Rhinolophus ferrumequinum: one gene and its partner. The protein of the gene in region 2 interacts with the protein of the main gene of each other region in a pairwise test. Links are inferred from orthologs where the notes say so. Each region holds a gene or a part of one and is shown on either strand. Other genes may lie near its edges.

What was found.
Region 1: the proteins of ACY3 (region 2) and PMM2 interact in binary tests that used the Homo sapiens proteins (3 or more experiments, as listed by UniProt). The two-hybrid records come from large-scale screens. The link is inferred for Rhinolophus ferrumequinum from reciprocal best matches to the Homo sapiens genes ACY3 and PMM2.

What each region holds. Positions count from the first base shown.
Region 1 is NW_022680357.1:9,030,201-9,037,086, forward strand, and holds the start of PMM2 (phosphomannomutase 2), read left to right. Parts: upstream 1-3,958; coding exon 3,959-4,024; intron 4,025-6,886. Other genes in the region: TMEM186 (transmembrane protein 186), read right to left, coding at 2,012-2,647, 3,697-3,960. UniProt on the Homo sapiens protein: Involved in the synthesis of the GDP-mannose and dolichol-phosphate-mannose required for a number of critical mannosyl transfer reactions.
Region 2 is NC_046294.1:4,657,795-4,664,963, reverse strand, and holds the start of ACY3 (N-acyl-aromatic-L-amino acid amidohydrolase (carboxylate-forming)), read right to left. Parts: upstream 3,023-7,169; 5' UTR 2,897-3,022; intron 2,500-2,896; 5' UTR 2,361-2,499; coding exon 2,125-2,360; intron 1,422-2,124; coding exon 1,226-1,421; intron 979-1,225; coding exon 885-978; intron 751-884; coding exon 643-750; intron 454-642; coding exon 344-453; intron 1-343. UniProt on the Homo sapiens protein: Plays an important role in deacetylating mercapturic acids in kidney proximal tubules. Also acts on N-acetyl-aromatic amino acids.

The DNA.
Region 1 (6,886 bases), on a different chromosome or scaffold from region 2:
AAGATGACTATATTTGAATAAATGTAGATTGTTGTACATGAAAAAGTAAGACATGCCCTGAAAATACGCCCTTATGCCTCTTCTGGAGCAAAAATTAATATAAAATCCAGTTTTCAGGAAAATACGGTATAAGATCCAGTCTTATTTTCGGGGAAACTCGGTAAAAAGCTGATGTTGAGGAGGAAAGAATGGAAAAAGAAACTGTTTATTACAGCATTTTTCTTCATTTGTTATGACAGATGACATGCTCATTACGAAAATTTTAAACGATACTAGGTTATAAAGTTAAAATTGGAAGCCTGCCCTTCACCTCATTCACCTCCAGTTCTCTCCCCAGAGGTAACTAACCACTGTTAACACCTTGTAATGCATGCATTTTTTTCAAAACACAAGATCACACAAAACTATGTTCTGTGACTTGTTTTTTCCAGGTAACGCTACCCCATGGTCACCTTTCCATGTCGGCAGATAGTTCAATCTCACTCTTTTCAAGGGCCGTGTAATACCCCATAGTATTGGATCCACCATTTACTTAACCGTGTTGCCACTGGTAGAAACTTAGTTTACTTCCAGTTTCATCTGTGCTATTGTTTTGTTTTGCCATTAGAAACATTCAGTGAACATCCTGCTATGTGTGCTTGGGTATTTCTATTAGGTTACCATTTTGGAATTGTCAAAGGGGGAAATTGCCAGTATCCCCACCACCTGAATCTAAAGACCACTTCCATTTTGCTGAGAAGCTGCTGCATGGCTTTGGAGAAGAAGGGTAAACCCCACACAAGGATCCTCAAAACTTGGGGTGCCTTGGAATTACCCGGGAAGCATAAAAATAGATACCCAGCTTCTACCAGAATCTACAGGGGCTGAACACAGGCGAGTTTTGTTGTCTCTGCTGATGTTGCTTTGGGGGTTTTTTGGACAGCTCCCAAGTGCTGCCCTACGTGCATTGCAGGAGCCCTAAGCCGACTGCCACTGTCACGTGGAGATCTGTGACTTTAGCTCGGGAATAATGGGATGGATAATGCATTTACTCTTTGTGCCCTCTGCTGGTACTGCGTGAGCAGATCACACGTCGACGTGAAGGTTTTCATGTCAAGGCTGGTGAGAAGCCAGCACTCATCCCCCAGTGTGGTGACACTTCGGGGCAGCGACTATCGACCCAGGCTACACATGAAAATCACCTGGGGGACCTATTTGTAAATAGCTCTCCAGGTGATTCGGCACATGGAGCCAGGGCTTGAGAACTTATTCTTTAGGCAAAAATTGGCCCAGGAACACAAAGTCCACAGAGGCGTCTGACGTGAGAGCCCCTAGACCTCTGGGTAGTGATCATGGTCCCGGCAGGAGTGCTGTGCTCTCTGGGATGACACTGCTGCCCCAGTCATTGTGCAGCTACTGTCCTGGCAGAATGAAAGGACCCAGCGCTAGGCTTCATCTCAAGTCCCGTCTCCTGCTGGGTCCATTGCACCATCACCTCTGAATTAACTAACGCTTAATATTTGCTCCCACCTGTTGAGTTTGCAAAGCACTTGACATTTATTGTTTATTCTCACACCCATCTCACAAGACAGGCAGGAGTTTCCATTTAAAAAATGCAAAACCAAGGTTCAGAGACTGACTTACCTGCCCCAGGACAGGGAGTTGAGAACAGACAGAACAGAACCCAAGTCTTCTGACTCCTAGTCCTATGCTCCCCTGGCCACACCTCTCTTCCCACTTCACTGCACTGTACTGAGTGAAGTTGGCATAGCTTCCTCCAAAACAGCCACTTCTGGCCATTACCTACCAACGTCACCGACGGCGCAGTAAGAATTTGCACCACGGGCCTCTTTCCTAAACCAGGTGACTAGCATCCACCTGGTGAACGTTCTCATCCCAAAGCACAAGTTCCCAGGGGCCCTGGCAAAGTCTCCAACTGCCAGATCTCCTTCTTTAGCCTCACTCACACCCTCAGGCTTCTGTCAGAGATCCAGGCAGCCCAGTGCTACCCGGAAGCCCAGCGTCCAGATGTTCAGTTGCGCGTGTCCAGCACCCCAAACACCTGCGTGAAACGCTCTCTGTCCACGATGCGTCCATAGCGCAGGGTAAGATAGAAGGTTTGCTTCCCACTGTACTGCTGGATCCGCACGAATAGCTCCTGAGGCCGGTCCTGGGTTTCTGCCAGGGGGATGATGTCAGCCACTGGGCAGTAAGTGTCCTGCCGCCAGCCCCAAAAGGTCAGGTGGGCCACCCGCAGCACGGTTCCTGACTCGTTCAGGTACAGGATACCCACCAGCCTCCGGAAGAAATAGCTCATCCAACACAGCATGGTCAGGGCGAAGCCAGCTATCCCACCCACAAGGCACAGGGAGTTGAGAGTCATGAGGCCCTGGGAGTACCAGTAGAAGCCAGGTGGCAGGGCCACCACCGTCAGGGCCGTCTGTGCCACCTTCAGCTGAGACAAGTACCCAAAGGCTCTGATGGCATCCAAACGGTAGACCATGTGGAATTTCTCTGTCTCTGTGCCCAGTGGTCTCTCCTTCGAGGTGGCCGACCTGCTCCCCACGCACCTCCTAGGATCCTGCCCACTGCGGTACCACAGATGGTAGAGTGGCCTTCCCCACACGGTTGGCCCTGGCCACCGCGGCACAGCTCGGAGCAGGACAGCCTGGAAGGGAGACAGGAGACCATTTCTCTCAAAGAACTCAACCGTGCCCGTGACACAACCAACATCGGCAAAGATCTTACATGGAGGCTCCCACCAACCCTGTAAGGTCACCACTATTGCCAAAGCCAGAGGAAAGGTAAACCCAGATGCTTTACCTCACGTGATCTTCACAAAAGCTGTGTGAGACAGGAACCACTACTTCCACTTTACCAGTGAGGAAACTAAGCCCAGAGAAGTAAGAAATTTACCCAAAGACACACAGCTAGTGAGTGGGGCAGAGTCTGACTCTCACACTGGCCCTCTTTCCTCCAGGCAGTTCAAGTAGGTATAGGAAAGGAGGTGCAGCCTTCATTCATTTAACAAATACCTAGGGAGAGCCTACTCTGGGCTGGGCGCTGGAACTATAAGGCTATGTGAACACTTCCCCAAGCAGGAAACTAAACAGTCAATGTCCTGTGGACAACAAATTCGTGAGCTATATAGTATAATAACTTTTTGACTTTCTTGTCAGGTTAAAGAGTCATCTGGGTGTTTTCTTAGCCTTGTTTGGAGAGGGGGAAGGAATGGAAGAGGAGGGAAGGATGGAAGCACAAGGATTTTAGCAGGGGCCCAGTTCTACACCTTGAGTAGTGCAATGAAAGATGCTTTGGGTTGTGGAATCAGATCTAGGTTCCAATCAACAGATCTGGGTTCCAATCCTGACACCTAAAGTCACTAGCTGTGGATGCGTGGACAAGTTACTCCACCTCTCTGGGCCTCAGTTTCTTCATCTTTGAAATGGGGATTCAGAACATACTGAATGAGATAATGGTTTTAAAGGCCTCAAATGCACTTGATGGACTTGATAAACTTGCTACACAGTGAGTTTTAGTTATTGCTATTGTTGACCCACGTGACCTGAGTGCACAGGAAGCCCGGGAATAAGAAATCGTAACCCACCCCGGAGGCCTCTCCCGCGCGCTTTCCCCGAATCACAACCCCAGGCGTCGGCCTGACTCCGACCCCAAAAGCGCGTCAATTCCCTCAGTTCCCACCACCCTCCTTCTTACCATGGTTCTGCTGCCAGCTGTCGTAAGCGAATCCCACCTGCCCCCGGGATCGCTAAGAGCGCATGCTCGGCCGAAGCAGGACTCAGTGGACGCATTGTATTCTGGGATTTGTGGTCCAGTGAGAATAGCTAGTCCCAGGCACTGTGGGAGGGGATTCTCCTCCTCCCAGCGTGCCTTGCCGCACGGAGGCCGAACCCGGAAGTTCCGGGCCGAGGTTCCGGAGCCAGCGAGTCCTAGTAGATGCGGTGTGGAATCTGGGGACATGGCTCTGCCCGGCCCGGCGCTCTGCCTCTTCGACGTGGACGGGACCCTGACGGCTCCGCGGCAGGTAGGCGACGCCCGGCAGGCTGGAGGCAAAGGCTGCGGAGCCTCCTGCTGCTCCCTAATGGGGCTAACGACCCCCCAGGGTGTGCGTGGGGCGGGGGGGGCTAAGGACCGCCTACCTTTTCTGGCGGAGCTGAAGTCTATAGTGGGGGACCTGGAGGGATGAGACGGAAGACCTCAGTATCGTGGTCGCGCGCGGCTGCCGAAAGAGTAGCCGGCGGCAGCCGGTGTCTGTTTATTTAAGGAGAGAAGCACCGACAGAGGAGTTGCGGGGGGCGGGGGGGCAGTCTAGAGTAGACTGCTGCACCGATGAGAAGCTATGTTGGAGTTTTACTTTTTTCTATGCAGGGATGTGGGGTGCTTGTCAGCTTGCAGGGGTTGCCGTTATAATTGGTTTCTTCTGGGAACCGTTCTATTCCCACAGCTAGCTGGGGGTTGGGGGGGATTCAGAGCCAAGCAGTTAGTTTTTAAGCTCGTTCCTGTTAACTCTCAAGCTCCTGTTAACTCTCGTTCCCGTTAACTCTTTACCTGTCGCATCACTCAGGGTACTTGGAGATGGGACAGGGCCGAAAATTTCTTGAGAGCAAGAAACTTGTATTGGGTTGGAAAACGCAGTTCTGGACTGTCACTGCAAGCCCTGGGTTTGAACCCCAGCTCAGCCCGCTTACAGCCATGTGCCCTCCTCAGTCCTGTCACCTATGGGCTGTGCTTTGTAGCCTGTTATGAAAATATCACATAGGTTTTCAGGTGGAAAAGACCTAGTAGGTTCTCAGCTTTACCTCTTAACAGCTGTGTGACCTTGAGCAAGTTACCTAGCCTCGGCATCTAGGACTTTAAATGGGGACATTACCTGTTCCCATGTGGTGTTTGTGAGGGTTGAATGAAATCAAACAAGTTCATGAAAGTATCTTGGCACACAGTAGGCTGTGTTCAGTAATAATACAAATTAGCCGCCTCCATTACTGTCTTCACCAGCCCTCAGAATAGGCTGGGGTGGTTGAGGAGACCTAGATTGTTACAGGCTGCCTGCTGAGAGCCTCCTAGGACTCCTGGAAACTTGCTTCCCACGTTCAGATTTTGTTACTCCAGGCACATACAGGTTTCAGTTAAGATCAACATTTGTGAGGAAGCACCTTCTGACCTCCCCCTTGCACAAACTGGTCACCGAACATCAGCCATTCGCACTTGAGACTGGGCCCAAATGGCCTCACTAGCTTCAGGTTCTATCCTTACCTCCCTTGGTTTTGGCTGGGTGGTAGCAGTGGTGTGCTGCAGAATTCCACAGCACATGTGTGTGACCTTCGACATGTCATTTTACCTTTCGGGGCCACATGTTTGATATATCTAGTGAAGATATTCAACTGCAAGTTCTCCAAAGGTCCCCTTTGACTCTGAGATTCAGTGATCAAAACACAGTTGTGGGTTGTCAAAAACCCATAGTGGTCTAAAGCCAAGCAATCATTGTTTGTAAAGAGTCAGATAGCAAATACTTCTGTCTTTGCCAACCGTAAGGTCTGTAGTAACTACTCAGCTTTAATGCAAAAGCAGCCATAGACCATATGTAGACACAGCGTGGCTACGTTCCAGTAAAACTTTATTCACTTACCACAAAAACAGCTGCTCAGTTTGGTTCGTTGGCTGTAATGGTCTAGGGTTGATATGCCAAGCCTCTTTACACAATACGATTGGACATTTTCAAACTTTCTCCTTTCATCCCAGGTAGGATAGTTGTTACTACTATTTTAAGCATAAGGAAACAAACGCACGATTGTCGCTGGGCCTCAGGGCATTGTTACTTACTAAGAGTACCATTTTCTGCTCTTGTTCTAAGGTGGCAGCTATTCTGCTTGCTGGATATGTCATTCGGGGAAGTGCTCTGACTCCCAGAAGGAATCAGGTTATATAAGCATAAGGAATGAAATAGCAACAAAACCAGGCAACCCACAATGTATTCCCTTCAAACATTTGAAACACAACATTCATTGCAGTGAAAATAAATAATTTTAACACTCAAAAAAGTCTGTAATTAAGAGAGAATTGTTTCTGTGTGCTGGGTGCTCTTCGTAAAAAATAAAAATATTTTCGCAACAGATCTATTCATTATCCAGCTTTTCCCTTCCTTGACACACGCGTTCTCAAACACTGATAAGCACAGTACAGTCAGGAAGCAGAAGACTAGCTATTATTTCTCACAGCTGCTAAAACAGGATGTGACCTAAACAGGTGAATTCTCATTAGAATCCTGAGCTTTGCCCATTTCACTGTTTTCCTAGAAGTCTGTTGTACTAAACACTCCCAAGAAATGTCATTCTACCTAAAAACAGTTGAGCCTACACAAAGAAGGGAGACGTAAATCTAGGTGAGTTGCTTTCCAACTTTCTATGATGAAAAATTTCAAACATGCAGAATCACTTAAAAAACCAGTACACAGAAGAACCATATCCCTACCACTTAAATTCCACAGTGGTTGACATTGGCTTTATCTTCTTTTTGTTTTTTAATCTTTGCTGTACCACTTCCTAAGCTATAGTCATCACGCTATTTCGCCCCTAAATATTTGAGCCTGCATCTCTTTAGGACGTGTATCGTAACCACAGTATCTTCATCACACCACAAAAAACTATCCCCAATTCCCTAGGGTTTAATACCCAAAGACCAGCAAACTTTTTTCTGTAAAAGGCCAGATAGTAAGTAGTTGAGGCCTCGCAGGCCATGTGGCACAACTACTGTCACAACTACTTAACTCGGATGTTGTAACCAGAAGTGAGTGGACATGCCTGTGTGCCAGTCATGCTTCACAGAGACAAGCAGCAGGGCTGATTCTGGCCCATAGTTGGTATTTTGTTGACTCTTTGTCTACTCCAGT
Region 2 (7,169 bases):
ACGTCCCCTCCCTCCCTCTGCCTTCTGTGGCCAGGAGAGGTGTCTCCGGGCTATTGAGGAGCCTCTGGTGTCTTCCACAGGCACTGTGAGTGTCACTGGGGCCCAGAGCTCCAGGCTCGTGTGCCGGGTTCCCGGAGAGGCATGGGGGCCCAGGCTACCGTCCTGCTCTTGATTCTAAGATGGTGGTGACTCTGTGGGAGGCTCTGTGGTCCCTGCCTCTGGGCCTTGGCTTTCGGACGCCCCCCCCCCCCCCCCCGCCTCCCCCCCCCCCCCCCCCCCCCCCGCCCCAAGGCTGTGAGCCAGGAGGCCACAATCCATAGGAGGCCACACTCCACACACATACCTGCAGCTGAGGATGCACCGTGCCTGCCAGGTCCCCCGCCTCCGTGCGTGGGAAGTCCATGCCCCTAAGGACTCGATATGCTTCCATCTCAAAGGCAGGAAAGGCTGTGCCTGTGCGGGGCGTGGGGGGTAGGCTGCATCCATGAGCTTGTCCATCCCTCCAGGCCCCAGGGCAAAGTGGGCTGTGAGGGACCCTCAGGACTCGTTCCCAGCCCACCCAAAAGCCTGGCTCCTTAGCCCCTGGGCCAAGCCCCCTCCTCTTTGGGCCTCAGTTTACCAGCAAATCCTGGGGGGTCTCACCTTGGTTGAAGAGCTGGATGAAGTCCAGAGCTGCAGCCACCAAGGCCCTCATCCTGGTGAAAAGGTCAGCCCGCAGCACGCCCTGAGGCTGGGGACCCAGCTCCAGGGCTGGGGACCAGGAAGGAAGGGGTCAGGCAAGTGCCCCAGAGAGGGGGGATGCCGGACCCCAGGCCCCTGACACCGCCCATCATCTGGCCCCGCACTTCCCAGCCCCGCCAATTTCTCCCAAGGTCGTGGCACACCCATTCCGTTCTTGGCCACTGAATTCAGGCTACCACTCTCCTCCTTGGGCAGCTTGTATAGGATGACCCGGCAGGGCAGCTCCGGGCTCAGCATCTGTGAGCAGAAGGGTGGGTCAGGGCCCCAGGAGGGGAGATGGGGAGTCACATAGAGACAGCACAGGGCACCACCTGGGGAAGTGGGGTGAGGGGTCCAGAGGGCCTGGGGTATCTGCGGGTGGCCGGCCCCAGGGACAGGAGCCCAGGGAACCACCTCCTCCGCACCCCCAGCCACGGAGGCACCAGAGCCATTGGTGTTCTCTTCCCAACCTCCCTCGCTCCGCAATCTGGGGGCACAGGGCCACCTGTAGGTGGCGGTACAGGTGCATCGCAAAGACATTGTGGGCGGTGTCCACGATGAGGCAGGTGCCCATGTTGGCTGTGGTGTTGTGCAGGTCGAGGACAAAATCAAAGGCCCCGCCTGAGGCCATAGGCCCCAGCAGCTGGTTCAGCTCTCGGGCCCTTGTCACCTCGTATGGGTCATCTGGGTGGGCCCTGGCACTGCAGGAGTAGGGGTAGGGTATCAGCCACTGACAGGCTCTGTCAGAGAGACAGAGCAGCTCAGGGACTCATCCCTCGTGCCTCTGTGGCATGCCTGTCTTACCCAGAGCCCTTCTTGGCTCCCCACTGCTCCCGTAAAGTTCAAACCCTCAACCTGGTCTTGCCAGCCTGCCTTATCAGCGCTCACTCCAGCCACACTTCTTAGCACTGTGCTGGTCTCACTGCCAGACCTTTGCACCTGCTGGGCCCTTCCCTGGAAACTCCTTTTCTCTTCTCTTCACATGGTTAACTTCTAAATCACCCTTTAGGGTTTGGCTGAGATACCACCTCCTCCAGGAAGCCCTCCCTGACTACCCGTAGCCAGGTTAGATGCTTTGTGTTGCCCCCACCCCTGCATTTAGCCTCCTGGGTTGTGGTTGCTGAGTTTATCCTGTCTCCCCCAGTAAGCTGAAGATAACACCTTGGTCCTACTCCCCATTCTCAGAGGAGGCCCTGACCCACTGTGGTATCAGGAAGGGCTTCCTGGAGGAGATGACATCAATCTGGATTTCCCTAAATTGAAAAAGGAAGAATGGGCATTGAGAGCAGAGGGGTGTGCGCTGCTGGTGGCTGGAGGAAGAATTTGAGGTGAGGACCTCGGTGCCAGGCTAACGGGCTGGGCCATCCTGGCAGGCAGGGGCCCCAAAGCCGCGAGGACACTTACGTGAGGAAGGTGTTGGTGAAGGTGCGATTGAGGTCACGGTCCATGTAGCGACGGCAGGCGGCTGTGGCCGCCGGGTTGGCCAGCACAGGCATGGCAGAGAAGCTGGGTCTCTGCAGCTCCCCCGGGGCCCGCAGCCAGTGCTGGGCCAGGCAGACGCCAGACATCTCATTGCCGTGGGTGCCCCCGGTCACTGCCACGCGGCGCAGAGGCTCTCGAGGCACAGGCAACGAGCACATTCTGGTATGCGGTGAAGGACCTGGTGGGCGGACCTGCTGAGGCGACTCCAGCACAGATGTAGAGCCCAGTGCTCAGAGCCAGGATAGTGGTGGTGAGCTCCCTGAGGTCTGACGAGTCCAAGCCGGGCAGGGCAGCTGCCTGTCAAAAAGTATGGCTGGCTGGTAGCTCGGCTGAGTCCCACTGCACCTCCATGGCTCAGCTCAGGGTTTGTCCCTCCTGGTGCCTGCAGCCCCTTTAGCACCCTTCCTGGGAGGGCACCCTGCTTTTCTGTGAGACCATTTTACTGCTCCCTTCGGAGAGAAGGCATTTCTTCCTCATAAGTTGGGGCAGTGGATTCACCGAGACACACACCCTATAACAAAAGGATTAGGCTCCCATTCTATAGATGGGGAAACCAAGGCATAGGATGGGAAGCAGAGAACATCACGTGCATTAGCTATGGAGCTTCAGGGTTCCAGGTGACATCTGCTCCTTCCTGCCCCTCCTGCGTGCTCCTCTGAGCCAGTGCAGGGACCTCAGGGAGCGGGGTGGTTACCTGCTGATGGGGGTCTGGGCTTCCTGGCCTGCCAGGGCTGGGCTGCCCCTCCTAGACTGGCTGGTATTTATGGGGCTGGAGATCCCTGGGCAGGAAGTGTTTGCCACAAATTGGTGGCGAGCAGGGAGTGGGTGGTGCGGGTTGAAGTCCAGCCAGAGGTCAGGAGCTCTGTGGTCTCCCCACCCAGCTCCACCCCACACTGCCACTGGCCACGGCCACAGTCCACTGCGTTCAAGCCTGTAGCCAGGCTTGGATCCTTGCCCCCACCTCCCAAAGTCAAGTAGGGCCCCCACTTGGAAAATTACTTGCAGGGAATCTTTAAGGCTTGGGATGAAGATGAGCTTCTCCCGAGAGCGCCTCAGAAGGCGGTCCAGCATGGACTGTTTACTGTGTCGGGGTCCAGCCAAGGCCGGCGGGCCTGGAATGCAGCCTTTGATCCACTGACTGGGCCGTAGGCCACCACCAGCCCAGGCTGCTGCGTTTCCTATTAAGACGTGTGCCTTGGCAGCTGCCCCACCCCTCTGTCCCCTCGGCAACGTGCTTCTGCCCTTGCAGCCCCCAGAGGAGCAGGGGTAACTCAGAGATTCATCTTGCTTTGTTTTGGAAGTGACCGTCAGACCCACTTCACAGATGTGAACCTGGGGCTCAGACAGAATGCCCAAGGGCACACAGGGCACTAGAGCAGAGCTGGAGCTGGCACCTGGGGGTGTCCAATCTGAGCCCACCTTCTGGGCCTGTCCCTCCCCCAGGCTTAGAGTTGGTGTGAGGGTTAAATGGGATCACATGCATTTAGGGCCCAAGGGTCCCCACTCCAGGGTACAGTGGAGTCCAGACTCATGTAAGTGATGCCAGCGTGGGGCCCAGAGGCCCTGGCTGCAGAGGGGTTCCTGACCACACATCTCCCAGAGCTCCCCAGGGCTCTGTCATGGCCTCAGGGACGGTCCAGAGGTCACTGAGGAGAGAGGCAGAGCCAGGCAGAGCTGGGCAGTGAACTGTCCCCCACCGTTTCCCCCCTGCCATCCCCAGGCATCTGGTCTCAGGCCTTCTTCGCTCCCAGACTTAGTCCTCCCAGGCTGGTTCATCCCTGGCCAGAACCAGGCCCACCAGCTGGCATTTCCGGTGGCCAGGCCCCTCCAGGCCAACCCTCTTTGCAGCTGCGCAGATCACATTCAACTCATGGTGAAGCCTGGGCCTGCCTCTGCTGTCCTGCCCTCCACCCTTATCATGGGGAAGGTGGCTCCCCTCAGGGCAGTGGGTACCTTAATAGGATAGCTGGGCAGGGGTGATGAAGTGTGAAGCCGGGTCTCCAAGGGAGCGGGGTCCCCTGGTACCTCCTGGAGGGGAGGACCCCCTCCTAGGGTCTGGACGGCAGCAAAGGGAGGGCAGAGACCACCATCAGGGTCATTGAATCTTCACCTGCATTGGCCCTGGAGGGCAGGCAGCGAGGCGCGTTTCACAGTACGGACCTGGGCTCTAGGAGGTGGAATGACTTGGCCGAAACTGGTAGGTGACGGTGGAACAAGTCAGCAGGCGAGCCTGTGTCTGTCTCCCTCCCAGTCCCAGCTACCCACATACTCTGGGCAGAGGCCTCAGGGCCCGCGGTTGCTCCAGAAGCCATGGTCTCCAACAGAGAGGCTGCCCGCTCTGCCGGGATTCTGCTGACTTGTTGCTGGCCTCTTAGGGAGGAAGGAAGGGCCTACTCAGCAGACCTGGCTATTTTTGGGGGTCCTGGGGGCTGGGGAACTTTCTGCCAGGAGGTGCTGGGCCCCCAACTCTGGGGAGGAGAGCAATAGGGGGTCCTGCAAAGTTTCACTTCCCTGGGTGGGGTCCAGCTTCCCTGTTTCAGAGGGTGTATACAGAATGGAAGGGGGTCCGGGAGCCGGGGCAAGAACCCCCAGAAACAGCAACCCCCAATCCCAACTGAGTGCATGTGTGTGTGCGTCGTGGATCTGTGTGTTCACATCTGTGCCATGTGTACCGACGTGTGTCTGTGTTGCAGTAGCGAGAACAGTTGAGGTGGGCCTTCTGAGTCTCACCTCTAAGCCCAGGAAGTAGAGGGGTCCCCCGACCCCCTTGGCTCTGACACCCATTCCTGACAGGCTGTGTGACTTGGGGAGAGTCAGTGCCCTCTCTGGGCCTCGGCTCCTCCTGAAATGGGAGTGAGGCTCTCTTCCAGCCCCGGGTAGCTGTGAGGAGTGAGGGCGCACCCCAAGCTTGGAATAGGCACACGCACGGCAGACCCTGGCAGGGCCAAGGGCAGCGACATTGTGTCAACGCGGCCAACGTCGTCACCACAGTTGGGGAAACTGAGGCCCAGAAAGAGGTTAAGACCTGAGCCAACCCACAAAATTGTAAGGCTTGGCCCAGGAGAGCCATGTGACGTGAGAGCTACTCCTATGGGCCACTGTCCAGTGGCTTTGGAGCTCCTGCCTGCCTGCCCTCCGTCCTCCCCAGGCTCTAACTCCCTCTTTGGCCTCTGCTCACTCCCCATCTGCTGTCTTTTCACAGCACCCTCGTCACAGCCTGTTCCTCCATCCCAACCCCCCACCAGGACCACCCTGTCCAGTTCATCCCACTGGCCTGGTGTTCTGGGGTGGGGATGAGAGGAGGACACCTCATATTGTAGTTTTTCTTAATGGCCCCACTCTAGACTACGGCCAGTTACCACAGTGGAACCTGCACCTACGGCTGAAGTTGACCCCTGAGCCCGGAGGGACCCTGGGATGGCCCCTAAGCCTCGGGCGGCAGAACACCACTGCTGGACAAGGAGAGGCTGCTGTCCCAGACCTTGAGGCCATGACAGAGCCCTGGGGAGTGTGTGGTAAGGGGCCCCTCTGCAGCCAGGGCCTCTGCCCAACGCTGGCTCGGCTTACATAAGAGTCTAGATTACACCGCATCCCAGAGTGGGGACCCCAGGGCCCCAGACATACGTGATCCCATATAACCCTCACACCAACTCTGTGAGGTAGGTGGGAACCCCATTCGACAAGATAAGAAAACAGAGGCTCAGAGAAGTGAAGGGTCTTGTCCAAAGGCACCCAGTCACGATGTGGCCGTGAAGCCATGTGAACCCAAGCTTCCTAGGTGGTGGCGCTACTGCAGGAAAGGGTCGGGTGCTCTGTGAGCCAGACTAGGCCACTGAGACGTCTGGAATGTGAGCTGCATTCCTGGGGGAGGCAGTGCCTGAGTGGAGGTGGGGGAGGGGCAGAGGTCAGCGGGAGGGAGAACTGGGAGGAGAGAGCCACTGTGCAGAAGCCTGGAGGGGCTTGAGGCTCTCTGATCTGTGTTTAGGACACAGACTTTGTGTGCTGAAAAGCAGGACACAGACTTTGTTCTGTGTATGGATGACACCGCCTCCAGGTCTGGGCCTGGTCAACCATGACTGAGAGAGAAAAGGGCTGGAATTGGGAAGGGCGGTGTGAATAGGGGCTGCTGGACATATTCGTGGTCTCTCCTGAACAGCCTCCCCAGGGTGGAAGGGAGAACATGCTCTCAGCTTCCCTTACGGCCAGGATGCAGTCATGTGACTCCATTTTAGTAGTCAGCGGCCACCGAGACTCAGGCATTCTGGGACTGCCCTCCCCACCCCCAGTGGGCCCCCCCGAGCCACATTTCCCTTGGAGGCTTTGCCCTGTCTTTGAACCACAGCAACCAATGGCCAAGAGGACACAGGGAACAAGATTAGGTGTGGTGACAGCAGTGAAATTTCCAGTCTTCACTGGGCAGAATCTTCTGTTCTTTGCTCACTGGGCTCACTCCCCATGGCCTGGAGATGCTCTGATTCTTTTCAATCCCTCTGGCTCTCTGTTCAGTCCGATGGCCATTTGGAGGAAACAGCTTCCCGTGGCAGGGGTGGGGAGAGTGGAAATCTCTCAGACCCAGGCCCACTGGTCACTCATCTTCTACCCGGGCCACCTACCCGTCCAGCCGTTCATCCACCACCCCACCCGTCTAGCCGTCACCTCATGCATCCATTCAGCCAGCCACTCGCTTGCCCTTCTACCCACTCATTAACACCTCCATCTATCCATACAACTATACATCCGTCCTCTCACTTCCTTACTCATTCTTTCCTTCACTCATCAACAAGCCCTGTTAAGCACCTCCTTTGAGCCCACTTCGTACCCTTTTGGAGACAACTATCCCCAACAATTCCCAGAGGAACAGGAAAGTCATATTTTCCCTTTTTCCCCTCAAACCTCAAGCCACTAGCCCAAGTTTTTCCATGGCTCTGAGGGGTGAGGAGCCCACTGAAGCAAGACTGGGGGGATCG